Oryzias latipes: one gene and its partners. The protein of the gene in region 4 purifies or fractionates together with the protein of the main gene of each other region. This does not show direct contact. Links are inferred from orthologs where the notes say so. Each region holds a gene or a part of one and is shown on either strand. Other genes may lie near its edges.

Region 1 (4,237 bases), on a different chromosome or scaffold from region 4:
CGTTCCAGAAAAGACTCGCCCTCCTCCTCAGAGTCGTCCACGTCCTCCTGAACCACCTCATCGTAGGTCGGGATCCTGAAAGCATCCAAATTACATCATTTAAAAAAAAAGGTTCGGACATTTCTCCCAACAAAAACGAAACAGAGGAGCTCTTCTGTGGAACACACCGCTCTTCATCATCATCCTCTTCGTTCAGGTAGCCCTTGTTAAGCACATAGTCTCTGAGGAAGCGCTCCTTCTCCTCCAGCTGCGGGTTGTTCCAGTAGTCTCTTAAGTACTTCTGTCTCCACAGAAAAAGCACAAACATGAGCTGGATAGTCAGAGTCCTCCACGCGTTTCTTCATCCTGATCAAACTCACCATGTCCTTCACCTCCTCTCCCCCCTCCAGCTCTGCCTGGCCTTTCAGCCAATCCACAAAGTCCGCCTCCTCTTCATCCTGAAACAAACGCAGCTCGGTTTTGTTTCAGCCACAGGGAGACGTTCACAGACGGGGCTTCCCATCCGACCTTCTCCTCCTGCGTCTTCATCCTCCTTGTCAGCAGCGTCGACGTTCCTCCTTCCTCATCGTCATCCTCATCGTCGCTGTCCTCAACAAACTTGCGGAAGCTGCGTTCAGAGGTGGACTTCTGTCAATAAAGAGTGAGCAGGAGCGCTGGACGCCTGTAGAAGCTTTCAGCTCACCTGGCTTTCAGCTCCCGCTGCTCCTGGATGTAGCTGGGAGAAGCCGCTCTCTGCGAAGGAGGCGCAGAGAAATATTTATTTACCTCTTTACTCTCTTTAACTCCTGAATCCAAACACTTCAAGTCAAACCTGTCTTCTCTCTGCAGCTTCCTCTTCATCGCTGTCATCATCATCTTCGTATTTCCTGCCAAATGAAAACATTTTTTCTGAATGACCTGTATTCAATGCAAAACCTCACTTTTTTTCTTTAAAATCCTGCAGATAGAGATCCACAAACAGTCTGAAGCAAAGTTCTGGTTCTCAATCTTCTTCATCAAAGAAAAAAGGCAAATCAAGATGGATGTCTGATGTCACAGGAGCTGGCTGAAAACCCCCGCCGTGGCAGACTTTAACATCTGACGGATAAACCCACCTGGTTCATCATTCTCAGAACTGTGAACATAGTGAACATCACTGAAACTCTGTTAAGACGTTGCAGCAGCAGCTGTATCTGCCTCCTCCAGCTCTCACCACATACAGACAAGCATCCTAACCAGCTCTATGTGTGATGGTGAGGTGTGTGGTGGAGGAAATCATCTCCATCCATAACACCACTCCTCAAAGGTGTGCATTCAGAGCAGAACGCCATCAGGGATTCTTCACACCTCATCACAAAGCGCTAAACACACCGGCCAGTGGACCTCAGAGAGACTGCAGCAAATAATACAAAAACATGACCTTTCAGAAATTAAATAAAAAACAATTAAAACATTTGCAGTCTTTTCCAGAAACCAAAACCAACTAACAAAAAAAGAAATGAAATATTGATTTTGGTTTATGAAATGATGAAAAATTAATGCTTTTGTGTTGAGTGATTGGTTGATGTGATTTACACTTCAGGGCCACCGTAGAATTTGGACCCAACTATTGTCTTAGTGGTGGCTCAAAAGACTAAACTGATTTTTGCATCATTTTGTTGATTAACACACAAATCCCAAAACTAAATTCTTGGGATTTGTGATGCAGTGGTAGGGCGGAAGATTGCAGGTTCAATTCCCACCTTGCCTGTCCTTGGGCAAAACACTGAACCCCACCTTGCCTCTGGTGGAAGGTTGGCGCCAGTGTTCGCCAGCGGAGCCGCCACCAGTGTGTGAATGTGTGTGTGACTGTAAAGCGCTTTAGGCCTTCGAGGAAGGTAGAAAAGCGCTGTACAAGTATACGACATGTACCATTTACATTTAATATTGTGTATAGAAACATTATTTACGTTTCACTATTAAAATCCCAACACTGCAGAGTTGTGCGCAGTACTTCCTGTTTACAATCAGACTAAAGGTTTCTGTAGTGTTATTTTGATGAAAAGATGCTGTTTCTTGAACAGGACCTCACCCCTCCTTCTCCAGGATGACTGCCCGCTCATAGTCCTTGAGGAACATGGGTTTCACTGCAGCTTTCTTCGAGGTTGAAGGCTTCTCATCGCTGTGAGAAGTGTCTGAATAAAGAGGAACAAACGTTTCACGAAGGGGCAGAAAAGCCACGAGAAGCTAGCTGCTGCAAACATGTAAACAACCACCTTCAGAGTAGAACTTGGCGTCTTTCTCGTAGATCTTCGGGTCTTTTTTTTTCAGCAGCGACAGGATCCTGTAGAAGTCCCTCTCGACGGTGGGATCCAGCTCCTGCGGGACACAACTTTAGCTCAGTCAGTGCGTTTTAACTCAGCTAGTCTAGAAGACCTCATGTGCTAACCACTTCACTGTTGTCTGAGCTGGACCCCGAAGAGTCCGAGTCTCTCCCGTCGTTTTTGTCCCCAAATCTGTCCTTAACTGTAAAATACAAAACAAAAAGATGTCTTTCTTAAGCGGCAGCAGCCTGAAAAACAACTTTAAAGCTACTTTTCATCACTGGGTCGTTAGCATGTTAGCTAGCTCGTGGTAGACGCTTACGTTTCTGCAGCTCTTCTTTCTGTCGGTATTTGTCATATTTCTGAGCAAACTTTGTGTTAATTTTTAGTTCCCGTTTGCCTGACATTTTAAAAATGGAAAAAGGATAATTATTGAGAAAAATAAACAGACATTAGCGAATAGAAACCATGCCAGCTGCCAAAGGAAGCATGTGTGGGACCCTAATCACGTGGTTTCCGCTAAAGGAAGCAATTGCAGTAAATGTCCTACAGAGGGCGCACGAATCACAGAATTATTTTTATTTGACAGAGAAAAGCTCTTTTTATGATATTAATACCTTTAATTATTTCAATTAGTAGTTTTGTCTGATTTCATTTTTGATAGACTTAAAAAAATATTATAACCCAAGAAATTAATGTTAGATTCCCTGATGCAAAAATCACCACTTAAAGATGTGGGAAAAAAAATTAAAAATGGATAAAGTGTAGATTTACTTTTAATATGTTATGATTAATGTCTGTCAATAAAATGCGTTTATTTATAAGACAATAAAAACAAGCATGTTTACAATAAAAACAATAACTATTTTAAACTAAATGTTCAGTGGTTTCTTTAAAAAAAACAGTCAGTGTTGTGGTCGGTTTGTTGGAATTCACTGATCAAATGTCATTGATTCTCTACTTGGTCTGTGAGTAAAAATGTCAACAGCGTTCCATAAACTCGAACAAACACAGGTATCTGGTCAGTGCTGCATTTCTGCTGCATGTGGGAGGACCTGAGTGGGAGGGACTGTGCCAAATGTGAGACCACATGACGTCATAGCAGTTCAGGCTAAGTGTGGGCTGTTCTGGGATGTTTTTGGAAGTTTCTTCTGGCTCGGTTTCATTATGGACTGACAACAATAAATAATCTGTTGGAATCAAGCCCTTTTTACAATTATCAGCATCTCTTTCTGAGAGCAGAAAAACTCCCAGGACTTATCCAAAGCGCTCCTTTGTTTCTTATTCACAAGCAGCTGTTTAGAAATCAATACTTAAATGATATTTCTGTAGCTTCAAGAGAAAAAGATTACACCGATGTTTCAAGAAGTAGAAAAAATTAGTTGTTCTGTTAGACACTTTATACTTATGAAATTGAAAACATAGTGTTACGCCCCCTAGGGGTACCTAGGGGGGCATAACACAAAAAGTTAAGATTTGGCTGATAATTTAACATGAACTAAAACACCAAACAAATGTCAATATACAAAAATGACAAATTTATTTACAAATAAACAACCACCAACAACTACAAGTAAAGCAAAAAAGCTTCAGGGTGAACCAAGGCCAAAATAACAAACAAAACCCCACTTAACTGAAACATGTAATCTTACCTGTAAATGAAAGAAAAAGGGAACTCAATGACAAACACTAACCTCCCTAGACTAACAAAAACAGGAGAAAACATGTACTAAAGAAAATGGCAGTTCACCCCTACAGCTTCACTTCAACAAAATTATAAAGCAAAGGACTAAACAGAGTGGGCACAACACCATAAACTACACAGAAGAAATAATACAAAACACTAAAGTGCAACACACAACTAAACAGGTGGTGAAATCAAAACCAAACTGGAGAAGAGGGCCAAGCTGCAGTGGAGACTGTTGCAGCAAGGCTCCCTTCTCACAGGCTGGAGG
Region 2 (2,731 bases), on a different chromosome or scaffold from region 4:
TGAATGAGGACAAACAGGCCGTTAAGGGCCAGCAGACTGATGGCACCGCCTGCTCAATGACAAACAGACCTTAAATGAGGCTGCCCCGACAGCAGAGGGCTGGATACACATCGTTTGTTTCAGAAACATTAAAACAATGAAAGCGCGCCAAAGGAGAAAACTTGAAATTAAACAGCAGATTCATTTTAACGGATCATGTTATATCCTTCAAGGAGACAAACAAAGGTGTGGCATCAAGTGTTTTGCATGTCCTAATTAATCTGAAAAATTGTAACCACATTTTTTATATAATTTGTTGTTGTCGGACAATAAGGTCATGATTAGTCGGTACAGAAAGTTTGGTGACTGTAGCTTAAGCATCTTCAGAGCTATTGAGAATTTAAATTCCACTATGCGAAGGCAGCTGCCGGTCCGAAGAAAAAAGGTTTGTCCGCGGTGCATCAGGAGGAGGACCGCAGAAGGTGGACATGCTGCTACGTAGTCCTGAGAAGCTGTGTAAACTCATCAGAAGTTCACAACCAACACAAAGCAGTCTTCTCTGCCGCTAACACAAAGCTACTCCTGGTGTGTCTGTGTCTGTTAGCAGCCGGAGACACGGAGAAAGCAGTGACGTCATCGCCCCGCCTTCCCTCTGGAAATGCTTTTTCTAAATGAATAATGCGACAATGTTCGCAGGGTGGATGTGAAAATGCAGATGCAATCCCCTCTTTGCATTTTCATTTTAATTATGACACAGAATAAGCGGTTTTTAAGTATAAAATGAAAAAGCATTTTGAAGTATTGCTTTTTCATTTTAATTTTGAGTCATTTGATACAGCTTCATTTGAAATGAAATGAAATTAAATGAAGTGAAAAAGAATTTCTGTTAATCCATTTTAATTGTCAAATTAGACATTTCTAAATGAATTATGCTACACATTTACCAGGGACCTTTTTGAAAATGAAATGTCAAATACTATTTTCATTATCATTTAATTAAGTGACAGAATAAGCGGTGTTGAAGAAGAAAATTAAAAAGCATTTTGGTGGATTGCTTTTTCATTTTAATTCTGAGTCAAAAAATGCAGCTTCATTTGAAAATGAAAAAGCATTTCTGGTTTTGACTTTTATTTTTAATTATGCTACAGAATCGCTTCCATATGACATGCTGGTTCACTCCGAGAGAAAGAAAAGCGATATTAGTGATTTCTGTGGAGGTAATTTTAACAATAATGAGAACTTGTGATATTTTTGAGATTATTTATGGCGAGTTACTGAGAAACTGCTTTTGTTTGTCAAAACGGATTATGTCCATGACACGTACACATTTGGCAGGGGTTGGCAACCTGCGGCTCTTTCATCCCTGTGCTGCGGCTCTCTATGGTTTTGTAAAAGAACTATTGTGTTGACAGATTGACGTGGTGCCTTTAACAACGTGTCTGCAGCTGTGAGCACGGACCAGAGTCTGTTACAGGATGAAAAGTTCTTCTAAAAAGACAGTACATGGCAACTGAGGTAGAATGAGAAGTGAATAAAAGCCTCATCATTCAGAACCTCTGCGGGTCGTCATGACGACACAAACCATGTCGTCAACCAGCTGTTGCATTTTTGTGAGCGGGTCGGAACAACCGAGCTGCTCGTCCCTGGAGCGGCTCCCCTGTGCTGATGACTATGGTCGGCAAGCAGTGAACAGGAAAGGTTCACAAAAATGATTTTAAAAAAACAAAACAAAAAATGAACGGGCTGAGTCTTAGGTTTAAAAAAAAATCTGAATGTAGACTTTCTAAGTAAAGTTCTATGTGACTATCAACCGGTGCCACGACCACGACTCCCGCCGGCGAGTACCGGTAATCCCAACAATGCTCTGACTCAGGTGGGACAACGATGGAAATTTTAGAGGAAATTGAAGTTCCTGGAGAAAACTGTTGCTTTAATGGCACCTGGGCAGATTTGTTTGCTTTCAACAACTTTAGCAGTATAATTAATATGTACTGAGGAATTAGCAAACAACAAAGTCTCAAATGTGGCGAGACATTCCAGAATGAAACTGCCCAAAAACATCCAGATTCAGATGAGAAAAAAAGTTGTTTGTTGACAAAAATCTATTGGAGAAGCAGATTAATTGTTACTTAATTACGACATATTTGCTAGTTTTGTGGCCACTCTGCAAATGGTTCTCATCAGAACCCATTAAATAACAGAGGATGCAAAAAAAAATGAACATCTCTTCACAAACTTTAAAAACGAGTGAAATGATGCTTTTCACTGGAAACACAGAGTTTTCCTGATGGTGATGCGGCTTCCTGTATCTTCATTTTTGTGGGAAACTGGTCCAAATGGCTTTGAATGGTAAAGGTTGCCGACCCCTGACATTGGGGCTTTTCAACTTTGATTTGCAGGTCAACCCACAGTTTGCATGAGCAGATTAGGTCAGGTAGTGTGTAGTTATCTCCTTTTGTAGTTCTTAAAAATACTAGAGAGAAAATCAAGAAAACAATCTAGAACAAAGATCACCTACGATTTTTTTTTCTTTAATTGAATGAGATACACTTTCAAACATTAGTGCAGTTTCCTCCACACCAACACAACAGGGTTAATTGAAGACAGAGAACTCACCGACTTCATAAGCGGCGGTCAAAAAGTCGATCATCAGAGCAGGTTTGCTCATGTGCGGCAAAATAGAGTCATGGAGGATCACCAAGAGTTTCTTATACATGTTGCTTGGCAACTGGGACACAAAGATGGAAGAACT
Region 3 (4,189 bases), on a different chromosome or scaffold from region 4:
ACTGTTGGCAAAAACCATGGTGCGGCCAGGATACTGGAGCAGGAAGTAATATAGGTAGAAGTCCTTCTCATCCTTCTGACAGTGGATCTGTGTCTCGGTCAGGGTCTCCACAGTTGCCTCTTTCCGGGTGAGGTCGATGACTTTAGGCTTGGACTTAATTCCTACTTTTTCGATGAGAATGTCCAGTTTGCTCCTCTTCTCCAAGTTCTTCTTCTTCTGAAGGAGGCGGCTGGGCAGGCTGTGCGTCAGCGTCAGAGTGGCAGAGAACACAAAAGTCTGCCGTTTGGGGTTGAAGTGTGTGGTGTTGAGCATCTCCAGCAGGCTCTCCAGCTCGGCAAAGTGTCCTCTTTCCACCATGCGATCAGCTTCATCGATCACCAAACACCTGGATCGGGAAGAAAAACGCAAAAGTGTCAAACAAAACGGGTCGGTCCCCAAAGCAGCAGAATCCGTAATGGAATCCGTAATAGGTAGATTCTGCTGCGATTTCAGGAATAAGAGGTCGTTGGTTCCATTGAGCCTCCAATACCAGCATTTTTTGGGGTCAGAAACCTATAACTGAACAACATAGTAGAGCTGAATGTAGACATTTTAACGTGCTGGACCATCATTTGTAAGCTAGAAAATGCAGCTTATAAGGAAGTGTGAAACTCATTATGTGGAAAATGTAGACAAAGGTGTTTTAGTTTGTAACCAATGCAGCTCTTACTGACCTAAATGTACGGTAATGACTTGATGACCAATCATTTATTTAAATGACAACAATTTAGATTTTGACAGACTGAAAGGAGATCAATATCAGTGCGTTTGAATGGTGACAAACCGGAGGTGTCTGAGGTTAAGCAGATGAGGATGCTTCTCCTTAATCAAGTCCCACAAACGTCCAGGGGTGGCAATAATGATCTCTGGGCAGCGTTTCAGCATCCTCTTCTGTTTCTGCTGGGCCATTCCCCCCACCAAAATGGCTGTCTTGATGTCTGGAACATGGAAAAAGCAGCTCATGGAGACGTATTCCAGCAGATGCAACGATCAGCAGAGATCTCCTTCCCATTTGTTCAGAAATTCTTTGCAAATGGGCTGTGTTTGACTGTTACAACTCACACAACATTGATGTAAACACTTTTTTTTGCTTCATTAGATATGTTATTCTGAGCTGAATGCGGTCACATGCTTCCTTGAATGGAGACTCACCAGTGAATTTTGTGACGGCATCAATGTGGTGTTTGACCTGAACAGCCAGCTCTCTGGTGGGAGTCAGGACCATTCCCAGGAGGGGCCGAGACCGGCCACCAGCAAGTTGTTCTTCCACACAGCGCTCGGCATTTTTGACCGTGCAGACACTTCCTGTTTTCTCATCTTGATCCTCGCTGCCATCTTCAGCTGAGCTGTCCTCCTCATCTGAAGCCTCCACACTCCCCTCCTGGTTCCCCACAGCTGTGGACTCATCTTCTGATTTTGCAGACTCCTCCACTGATGGTAAATATAAACTCACCACCTTTGGGGGAGTTTTGTCGATGTTGTCATGAAGACTTTGTTCTGTGCCGCGCTTCCATTCTAAGATGGCGTGGATCATAGGAATACCAAAAGCTAACGTCTTTCCACTTCCTGCAACGACACCCAAACTTCACGTGAGAACATGTGGAAACAAAGGGGCAAAAATCAAGACTTAAAAAAAAAAAAAAGTATTTTAGCTCACCAGTCTCAGCTGCACCCAGGACATCCATATGATCTCTGATGGCTGGGGGTAAAGCTAAAGCTTGAATGGGAGTCGGTGACTCAAATCCCAGGCTGCTGAGAGCCTTCAGCACAGAAGAGGGAACGAACAAGTCCTTCCACGCACTCACATCAGATTGTTTGTCATCATCAGAGCCACAGAGTGCAGCAGAGGTCCAGTTCTTTGTCTGCTTTTTGATGGGTTTTGTCTTATTTTGACCTTTATTCAAACCTTTTGTTTCAGATGGAGAATCCAGCTTTGGCTGCTCCTCCGTGACGGGATCTTTCTCTGAATGATTCTTCAGTTTCTTTTTCCTTATTTTTTCTCTTTTTGGGGGGTGTTCTTGTTCACAGAGGTCCTCACTGATCTCATCCTTCCCCGCCTCTTTATCAACAGCCTTGTCTTCTCCTATTGCATCCCCACTTTCCGATCCCACAGATTCCTTTGGAGCCACCTTTTTCCCCTTCTTTTTCTTCTTTGCTTTCTTCTTAGCTGGCTCAGCAGGAGTCTCTCCAGCTTCGTCTTCCTCCGCGACTTTTCTTTTCTTAGCCACCTTCTTCTCTCGTTGAAGTTGCTTCGCTGCAGCTTTCTCGCTGTCTATCAATCGATAATCCCTCAGCTCTTCAAAACACACCAGACCCTCCAAACCCTGCTCCGAGAACACACTGGGATCTATTTCGACCGCTTTCCATGTTCCTTTAGCGCGGATGCTCCGGGTCTTTAACCTAAACGAGCTGTTTTTGTTTTGAGCTTCCACTTTCTTTGTCTTCATTTTTCTCACTTTTTCTACAGTTTTAATACATGTGAATTATCTTTGATGCTAAAGGTGAAGACGAGTGAACCTGTGAGATCTGACACGAGACGTTTCCGTTAGCCTTTACGTTTGACGATGAGCGCAACTGATTGTTTACAACTTACTGCTAATGCATTGAACAGGCTTTTTATATTATTAACAAGGAATACAATGGTACGTTACCCGGATTCGATGGAGCTTTATGAAGTATCAAAATACACGCACAACCGTTAACAACCATGCAGTTCACGAGGGCGCAGCCATGACAGTGCTGATCACATGTTTTGTAAAAACTTTATTTAAACACAGGATGCGTACAAGCCCGAAAAGAAGGGTGAGAACGATGATTGTATGTGGAAGAGAGCATCTCATTTATGTCCAAATGTATTCTCTGCTATATAAACAAGAAAACATTTAACAAAGCAAAACCTGCTAAAATGCTTTAGTTTTTCACATTTTAATGCAATCTTTTTGTTCAACCCATGGGATAAAAGCTTAAAGTCTGCACTTCAATGGCATCTGAGTTGTTTAACTTAAAAGTCACTGTGGTAATGTACAGAAACTAAATTAGAAAAAACGTGTCTGTCCAAATATTTATGGTCCTGACTGTAGTTCGTGGTTGCTGATACGACTCATTTTGAACAATCCGATTCACTGAACTAAAATCAATCCAGGTTTTAATCTTTAAGCCGAAATATATCTGGGTACTAAACAGTGTAGGTGAAGTTTTCCAGATTCCTTGTATTTGTTTGTGTTGTCCGCTGTGATGGTACTTTGTTGTTTTTACGTTATTGTAAAATGAACCCACAGGGCCTCAATCCAGATGGGATTTTCCAATATTGATACAATCCATTTATTTAATTTTGAAAGGATTTTATAATGGTTTAGGTTAATTTGATTAACAACTTGCCTCAGGCAGACTGATCTGGCTGGAGAATACAAATCAATTAATCGACTAAACTGATAAATCGTTACGCCCCTATTTGTAAGTGACACTACAAAACAACAAAATTGACCTGGATTTGCAGGTCAATTACAGAAAACATGTAAAGAATTCAGATGTTTTTTGGAACTGAAGGGGCCAAACTCATCTCTTGATAAACAGCCCCACATCATAATACTCCTTCCACTTAACGTGACACTTGACTTAATGCAACCAGGAAGGTGATCTTCTACTGACAACTGCCAATACCTGTCTTAACAATAATGTTTGCAGATGAAGAAATCATATACATCACTTGAGAGAAATCATCTCTCAAGGGAACAACATTCGTATCATAATATTTAAGTAGATTTCTTTTTATATTAATATTTTTTTATTGTTTTGTTTTTATTTTAAGAGGATAACATCTATGTATCAATGTAAAACATAATTCTGTCCACAAATATTTACATGAGATCTGATTTTTACCCTTCAGAAATACCATTTAGTTGAAACTGCTTTAATAGTAAGTGAATAGACAATTCTTAATCATTATTGTATTCATTTCTATATAATTCATGCATATAATAGTATTTAGCAGAAGTACACTAAAAAAAAAAGATCTGTGGTAGATTCAACCACTAAAACACCTTTAAAACTCATATTTCGCTTTTTAAATTGAAAAAATTCATTGAATCAAAACAAAAAACTCTTTATTCCTTTATAAGTTAAAAAAGTTCATAAGTCATTAGTTGTACTA
Region 4 (3,515 bases):
GCTCTTCTTGCCTTTTAGTCAGAACTTCTGCTTGTTTGACCTGGGAAAAAAAGACCAGTGTGAATATTATAAACCTCTTCTTTCAGTGTTACACTTCTCTACTGAAGCTGAAGATCATGAAAAACCTGCTGGCATTGTTTAAAAGGTAAAAAAAGATCCTCACTTTTATTTCCTCCATCTTCTTTCTCTTCTTCACACTTTCTCGTAAGAAAAACTCTCCAGTGGCAAGCTCCTTATCAATCTGCAAAAGCCAGCATTGATGAGTTATGTTGGGCTGTTAGCATAACTCGACATATGCGAGAGCATGAATCAAGGCCTTTCTGACCTTGCTTTCTGGCTGTGAAGGAGGGAAGGGTGTGTACTCTTTCTTCACGCTCTTCTTCTTAGGTTCCTTCCGCTTAGACAGGTTCTTGTGGCGGAACTTTGGCATGAAGCGCTCCCAGTTCTGCGTTCGCAGCTCTGGGTCCCTGGAGAGTTCCTGTTTGATCATCAGTGTCTGACGGCGAGACAGAACAGCATGCATGGGAAACCAAATACACGTATTGTCAGTTTGGTCCTCCTGAAGACATTCATGGACTTCTTCTGGTGTTGGTGCTCCATAACTGCACTTGCAGTAACATTAAGAAGTGTTTCTGTTCTCCAAACTGCAACACTATAACAGGTGATCAGGTTGCAGTTCATTGGTTTTTGTGCTGCTTTAATGAACACAGCTTCAGCAACAAAACTCAGAGTAAATCTGGATCTGCTGTGACTACAGAGGCCAAATAGAAAAGACTTATCCTTAACATGGGCGGGGAATGACCTAAAAGTGTTTAAGTACGTGAACAACATATAGAAACTGCTGGAACCACATGAAAAAATTCAACATTGAACTAAAGTGTAGATATATGTGTGAACAACAACAGGAGAGTTGGACAAACAAGGTGCATAAATGTAGCAGTGTTTTTCATGCCCTCAGCTCCAGGCATCAAACCCAGAGAGGCTTGTTTCAGTCATGAGATCCAGAACAAGGATGGAGAAAGTCCTCATAGGGCATGAATGCAGTCTCTCCAAGCATTCTGTGATTCCTGTGCAGCTTCAGCAGCTGGAATGTACCTTGATGTTATAGATGGGATGGATGTTCTTCATCGTGTCCATCACCACCTTTCGAACCTGCAGAGCAGAAAAGACAAACATGTCAAACATACGATGTATGAGACAGAAAGGCTTACCTTACCGTTTGCTGAACGTTTGTAGAAAAGCTCTTTGGGCAACATTTAACATTTTTAGTGACGTTCATTTGCATGATTTTCTATGATGATGACATAGAAAAGGTTTGATTTGAAAAGAAGAGGACAACACTGTTTGCTTCAGGCCCAAACCGCAGTGAGAACTTGGCAAACAAGATGTCAACATTTCATCCCCATTTATCTGTATTCAGTAATTAGAACCAGCAAATGTTTTTCTTGCACTAAACAACAGCAGAAACTGTCTACATTTAGTAAGAAATGCACCAGCAGAAAGTTTCAGACCCAGAGGTGGTGAAAAAAAGCCCAGAAAGCAGCAGCAGACGTGTCACTCCACTCATTAGATGTAAAATAAGATCAAATTAGATGAATAAATGAATGTCACCAGGTTAAAAATAAAACAATTTTCTTTTCTTTTTTTTAAATATCCCTACGGTCAGCTACCAGCTAGTCCACTTTAGCTCTGAGTTAGCTTTCTTTAATTTGGTTATTTTTCCCACATGTTCATAATCCACCATCTTCCCTTCGGGATCACTGTAATGCTGGAGCCCGTCCCGGCTACTGTTGGGGGGTGGGGGGGGGGGGGGGGTCGGTACACCTGGACAGGTTCAGGGGCTGGAGTGAGTGTGCCTGCCCCGCTCTGGCAAAGGATATCACTGTCATAATCTGTTTTTTTGGTTGTTTTTTTTAACAGCAATTGTACTAAAACAAATTCCATGTGATCATTAACATTCTAAAAAGTTTAATTCTTTTTTAGTTTAATAAATTAGCCTGAAAGCACATGCTAATAAAGTTGAAACAATGTTTCAGTTCTCGAATACGTCTGTGACCCTGTGTCGTATTTAAAACAGAGAGTTAACGCGGGAAATCGCATTCAAAACAGACATGTTAAACATGAAACTAAATGTTGTAATCATATTTTTGTTTTAAGTTGAACACAATTTCGTTGTTTCTGCACAAGTTCCTCATTGACAGTTTACCATTCGTCCGTGGTCTTACCTCCTTCAGGCCGTTGTAGGGTCCTAGCGCGGACACCGTGTTGCCTTGCACCATCACGTAGCAGTTGGTCAGCAGCTCCAATGCCTGGACAGAGATGGAGACAGAAAATGATCTTTCACGTCCAAGGGGCAACTCTCGTACTTCCCATCTTTGGAACTGAAATGGGTTTATTTCAAACAATCAAAACAAACATCTCATCCTTGTTCTTCCAATTACAAAGATGAGAGAGGCCAGTGGTTTTCATCATAGTAAACCTCAACTTTGAGAGACAAAATGAAAAAAAAAAAATCCAGAAAATCACATTGTCGGATTTTAAAAAAAGTTCTTTGTAAATGATGGTGGAATATAAGTTTTTGGTCACCTACAAACAAGCAGGCTTTCTGTCTCTCACAGACCTGTAACTTCTTCTGTAAGAGGATCCTCTGTCCTCCACTGGTTACCTGTAATAATGGCTCCCGTTTCTTCTTGTAGTTTACATAGCGGGAGGCACCAAAGTCAAGGTGCAATACCAACACCTAGTGTGTAAAAGTGTGAGTCGGACTGGGGAACTACCTAACTAGTTTAGTAAATTAAAAAAGAAAAAAAACTATATTCTCAACAGTCTATCTGGTTCACTTCAGAAAACCACTAACAACTCTGTTGAAATTCTGCTCCCCTCCCAAAAGCCTCCTCAAACTCAGTCGCTCTCCCTCTGGCAACTGTACTCTATCCTCCAGCTGATGTCTTTCTTCCCCATTCAATTCAGTGATTTAGAATGTGCTTCTTCCCTTTTCCCACAATCACACAGGCCAGTAGGATGTTTCCCCAGTTGATGTAATGTATTATTTAAAGCCGTGTGTCCAATCCTCAATGTTTCCTAGTAAAATCCATGCATTTTGTTTTATCCACTAAAAATTGAAAGCCCCAATCCTAGGACCAGTTTACCACCTCTGTTAATGCATCTTGCATCTTTCCAGGTAGCAATACGGGTTGTTTGACGAAGATCAAGCAGTACTCTTTGCTCAGGGGCAAGCTGGGGTCTGTTACCATATTGGGCAGTCCGGCTTCATTTTCTGGTCGGTTTTGTAACAAGGAAGTTTCCCCTGGCTGTGTTGTTGGCCCTCCGCAGGACACTTTTGATAGTGGGGGCCACCTTGCAGTGTTCCAACAAGCTGCGGGTCTATGTTTGTCTGGAACGTCACCAAGTGACCAGCCCGCCAAGGGTGACCCCACCAGAAGCAAGCTCCAGACGGTATCGCTCTCTGGGTCATCGGTTCACAGAAGTCTCCTTGCCCCAACAAGGCCAGACCC
Region 5 (4,198 bases), on a different chromosome or scaffold from region 4:
ATATCACACCCTGCAGCCAATCAGAATGGAGTATTCACCCGGACCGTGGTCTAAACTTCAATTAACGTTGGAGATAGAAAACTTTTGCCTCTGGAAAATTCTGCTTTGGTTCAAGTTGGACTATGGCTCTAAGCTTTTCCTCAGTGTTCCACCTAACATGCATCAAACCAGATCAGTGTCCCGATAAACATTATGACGGGCTTCGCTCAGCGTATTGGGCCGGGACGACCCGCAGGATCTGTGACATACAGTGGGACCTTTTGTTCAAAGTGCTTAAGTGGGTGTGGCCCCCAGACACGGGGGCTCTGCAGAAGCCGCTCAGGAATGAGATTCGTACTCGGCAGTAGTTTGATGATCTGCTTGAGTTCCTCTTCGAAGCCCACTTCCAGGATCCGATCGGCCTCGTCGATTATCAGACACTGCAGGTTCTTGAACATGAAGCCAGGAGTATTCTGGGAAAAGAGGGGGGGGGGGGGGGGCACATTTGTCAAAACTTCACACCAACTTCAACACCCGGATCCACGCGAGGCTCACCTGCAGGTGGTCCAACAGGCGGCCGGGCGTGGCCACGAGAATGTTAACACCGTTGGCCAGTCTTTGGGCCTCGGCTGAGCGGTTGCTGCCCCCCATTATGAGCCCGTAGGTGTGGACGTGGTGGGTCATCAGCTCCTTCAGGACGCCGTACGTCTGCATGGCCAGCTCGCGCGTCGGAGAGAGGATGATGACACCAGTGCCTGAGGGAGAGGGCGGGTTTAGGATTCCACCAGAACCATGACAGTCACATCATTCTCGTGGAGACTCACCGTTTCTGGGCATGAACTTCAACTTGTAAATGAGCTCAATGGAGGGGATGAGGAAAGCCAAGGTTTTCCCGCTGCCTGTCTTGGCGGCGGCCAGAACATCCCTGCAGGAGAACATGGCAAACAACTGAGCCTCAACCCAAAACCAAACACACCAGCGTTCTGATGTCCCGCTCGTTTAAGGACTCATGGCTACCTTCCTTCCAGCAGAGGCCGGACGGTTTTGTGTTGGATCTCAGTCATGTGCTGGAAGCCCATCTCTTTCACTCCCTTCAGTGTGCCCTCGCTCACCAGATCCGCCAGAGACTCGAACGCCGTGTCCTCGAACGCTCCTGAAACGGCAGGCCACCCCTCGTCACTGCACATCACCTCCAGCTGTTCCCATCTACTTCCTGTCCTCTCAATCTACAGTTACCTATAAATGTCCCAACCGGGACCATCCCGACCCAACCGGGACCATCCAGACTCAATAAAGGTCAGTTCACTGGTTTCTGTTCAGCGCTTTCACACATCGGCTACGTTCTTTCAATAACGTCAACTATGGTAGCTTGTTAGGTCCAAACAAGCAGACAGACAACAACTGCACGTGGGTTGGATCCGAATAGGTTCCTGTTCCTACTCTAACCAAACCGAGTTTGTTTGAAAGCGGTTGGAGATCGGCCAACAGTTTGGATGAGTGAAATCACACCAAGCAGTGAAAGACACATCGCAAAAGACGGCGAAAAATGCAATAAATAGTTACCTTAAATGTGCTAAAACAATCTTATGGCAGCTTGAAGTATTTAACAAATCAAATAAATCCCTTTGTGCTTTTGACCAATCAAGTGGAGCCGTTTATGTTAGATGTTTGTCTCCGATGTCGACAAGGATCATTGGGAGTAGAATATTTAAACTAATGCAGTGAAATGGGAATGATGTTTTAGCTGTTTTGCCGTTTGTTCATATACCGCAAACTATATCGTTTTCGCAATATTGATCAGTAATATCCCGAGTTGTCCTCATTTCGTGCAGCCCTGGTCCAAACTGACACCAGAAACAAACTAAAGCCAATCAAACGCAGCAGAACCACAGCCAGAACCACGGCTCATGCTTCTGGCATCAATACCTGTTAAACCTGAAGGCAGTTCAGGCTGCTCTTCATCCTCCGCCCCCTCTTCCTCTGAAGGTTTCTCCTCTTCATCCTCACTTTGGCCCTCTTTCTGGTGTCCTCTTGTGGTCTTGTCCTCTTCATCTTCCACGGTCTTGCTTTTCTTCTCAGCTGCAGATCAAAGTTTATATTTTGCGGTCACCAGATTAAACAACAACAACCGCTCTTTCTTTGACCTTATCTCCAGCATTACCTGGAGGTCCTTCGGTAACAACGAGGTTTCTTTTCTTCTTTTTCTTCTGATTCTTTTCCTTCACAGCATGTTCCTCCGGCCCTTCGACATTCTTCAGTCCCACACTGGAGCCCTCTTCCTCCGCGCACAGCTCCTCCTCCAGCCGGTCGGAGCCTCTTTTCAGTCCCTCTGCAACACAGCAGGTGAGGAGCTAAACGGACAGCAGTTCAGCGGACAGACAAGCTCCACAGACGGACGGAGGCCGAGGAGGTCCAAACACTGCGAAGTCGCCCCACACAAGCCAAACAACGCGGGCCTCCGGGTAGAAAAAAGTTCGGATGTTGGGCGGTTACAGCTCGCTCACTTTTCCTGTTAAGTCGATATATGTGAGTGTCAGAGAGTTTACACACACACACACACATGTGTGTGTTTGAAAGGCCCGCATTTCGTCAGAGCATTCAGAACTTAAAGTACCACAAAGCTCAACGACCGACACACAAACACCGTAAAACCGGAGCCGCCGGATCTCTTACCGGTCTCCTCCTGGATCTCTGCCTGGATACTCTTCAGTTTGCGCTCTTTGTTCTTCTCGGCCCGTTTTTGGATTTTCTTACGGAGCAGTTTCATCTGTAGGTCCGCCATGGTGGAACAGCGCACGTGCGTCTGCGTGGATGACGCCCAGGACCCCGGAAGCTGCCGCTTAGTTTCGCCTGAGTGAAAAGCCGTGGAGTGTCGCCACCCGATTAGTCTGCGCGTGCGCTTGCCTCTTGAAACGTTTACAACAATGAAAATGTTTATTATAATAAACAGTTAACTTTAATGTTGAAAAAAAGGAAATGTTAAAGCTCATGACCCCGCCATCCTGCTTAAGGACTACAAATGGACTACAAATGTTTTCTTTTCTCCTGTTCAGGTCAGAGGTCAGAGGACGCAGCGCTTCTTTCTTACTGACACTTTTACTAACTCCGTTAGTAAATAATAAATAATAATAAATACGGTCACTTCTCCTTTTTCCTGTTGCCAACACATAAAAAACGCTAGCTGTAGCCGATCTTTAAAAAATAATCATATTTTTTCTAATAAATGTTTTGGGATAGAACTTTAATCTCCAATTCAATGTTCCGGGTGGACACCTGTGATCTTAATGCCGTTTACAGAAGCATCTGAAAAACACAGTTTTTGGAAAACATCTTTTAATCTTGAAATGAAAATACTTCCCATTTTTCCAAATGGACCTTTGACTTCATATCAGGGGTGGACGAACCTTTTGACTGTTGGGCCACGAAGGGTTGTAAAATTTGTCACAAGGGCCTAACCAGAGGCATGGTGTGTTTTGGTAATCCACCTCGAAAGAGAAAGAAATAACATAGAATGTGATTGAAAACATGCTTTATCTTTGATTGAAAACTGATATATAAAATCTGAACATTTGGGAGTTTTTATTTCAGAACCGTGGCTTTTATTCTCATTTTATTGCCAATTGCATTAATAGGTCTATGTCCTTCAGGAAAAAATATAAACTTAGAGAAATTGTCTAGAAAAACTGTTCATGTGGTGCTGGAATGATGGAAAAATGATTTTCCAACTTGGAAAATGCACATGAACAAAAAACAACAACAAATCTTCCAACACCACATGAATGAAGACTAATTTTCTGCACCCAGACAAAGGTCAGTTTATTGTAGTGCACCATCTATAGTAGACACCAAAATTACAGGGGGAAAAGAAACATGAAAAAGTATTATCAATATGATTTATTCCAGTTTGGCGGGCCGCATATGGCCCCCGGGCCGTGGTTTGCCCACCCCTGCTTTATATATTCAATGTTACGGAGAGAAAACGAAAATCTTCCTTGTAAATCTGAGTCCAGATTGTCTCTAACCTTTCTTTTTTATTTATTTCTACGTTTGTGTTTAAATCCAGACTATTATTGAGGTGAGACGACCAAGAACATCTATTTCACAGCACTGAAGGCTCAATGACAAAAAACAGTATTTTATGTTTTTCAGAAAGAAACGATTCGATATATAAATAGTAGTAAATCCTGCTCTATAAAAAGCTGCTAGAACAGTGGTCACA

What was found.
Region 1: the proteins of krr1 (region 4) and protein KRI1 homolog purify together in Homo sapiens (affinity purification with mass spectrometry; 3 studies listed by BioGRID and IntAct, with this or other methods). This does not show direct contact. The link is inferred for Oryzias latipes from reciprocal best matches to the Homo sapiens genes KRR1 and KRI1.
Region 2: the proteins of krr1 (region 4) and noc4l purify together in Homo sapiens (co-immunoprecipitation; 3 studies listed by BioGRID and IntAct, with this or other methods). This does not show direct contact. The link is inferred for Oryzias latipes from reciprocal best matches to the Homo sapiens genes KRR1 and NOC4L.
Region 3: the proteins of krr1 (region 4) and ddx24 purify together in Homo sapiens (affinity purification with mass spectrometry; 3 studies listed by BioGRID and IntAct, with this or other methods). This does not show direct contact. The link is inferred for Oryzias latipes from reciprocal best matches to the Homo sapiens genes KRR1 and DDX24.
Region 5: the proteins of krr1 (region 4) and ddx18 purify together in Homo sapiens (affinity purification with mass spectrometry; 3 studies listed by BioGRID and IntAct, with this or other methods). This does not show direct contact. The link is inferred for Oryzias latipes from reciprocal best matches to the Homo sapiens genes KRR1 and DDX18.

Annotation. Positions count from the first base shown.
Region 1 is NC_019866.2:21,186,430-21,190,666, forward strand, and holds the start of protein KRI1 homolog, read right to left. Parts: upstream 2,806-4,237; 5' UTR 2,690-2,805; coding exon 2,605-2,689; intron 2,485-2,604; coding exon 2,408-2,484; intron 2,338-2,407; coding exon 2,235-2,337; intron 2,154-2,234; coding exon 2,051-2,153; intron 867-2,050; coding exon 812-866; intron 733-811; coding exon 683-732; intron 608-682; coding exon 508-607; intron 438-507; coding exon 360-437; intron 281-359; coding exon 168-280; intron 76-167; coding exon 1-75.
Region 2 is NC_019870.2:16,277,966-16,280,696, reverse strand, and holds part of noc4l (nucleolar complex protein 4 homolog), read right to left. Parts: intron 2,708-2,731; coding exon 2,596-2,707; intron 50-2,595; coding exon 1-49.
Region 3 is NC_019880.2:12,476,968-12,481,156, forward strand, and holds the start of ddx24 (ATP-dependent RNA helicase DDX24), read right to left. Parts: upstream 2,808-4,189; 5' UTR 2,691-2,807; intron 2,566-2,690; 5' UTR 2,487-2,565; coding exon 1,697-2,486; intron 1,606-1,696; coding exon 1,192-1,605; intron 978-1,191; coding exon 824-977; intron 386-823; coding exon 1-385. UniProt on the Homo sapiens protein: ATP-dependent RNA helicase that plays a role in various aspects of RNA metabolism including pre-mRNA splicing and is thereby involved in different biological processes such as cell cycle regulation or innate immunity.
Region 4 is NC_019863.2:1,188,159-1,191,673, reverse strand, and holds part of krr1 (KRR1 small subunit processome component homolog), read right to left. Parts: intron 2,310-3,515; coding exon 2,226-2,309; intron 1,153-2,225; coding exon 1,096-1,152; intron 497-1,095; coding exon 326-496; intron 242-325; coding exon 164-241; intron 41-163; coding exon 1-40. UniProt on the Homo sapiens protein: Part of the small subunit (SSU) processome, first precursor of the small eukaryotic ribosomal subunit.
Region 5 is NC_019879.2:1,178,026-1,182,223, forward strand, and holds the start of ddx18 (ATP-dependent RNA helicase DDX18), read right to left. Parts: upstream 2,816-4,198; 5' UTR 2,762-2,815; coding exon 2,653-2,761; intron 2,309-2,652; coding exon 2,141-2,308; intron 2,059-2,140; coding exon 1,906-2,058; intron 1,133-1,905; coding exon 997-1,132; intron 905-996; coding exon 804-904; intron 735-803; coding exon 535-734; intron 453-534; coding exon 338-452; intron 1-337. UniProt on the Homo sapiens protein: ATP-dependent RNA helicase that plays a role in the regulation of R-loop homeostasis in both endogenous R-loop-prone regions and at sites of DNA damage.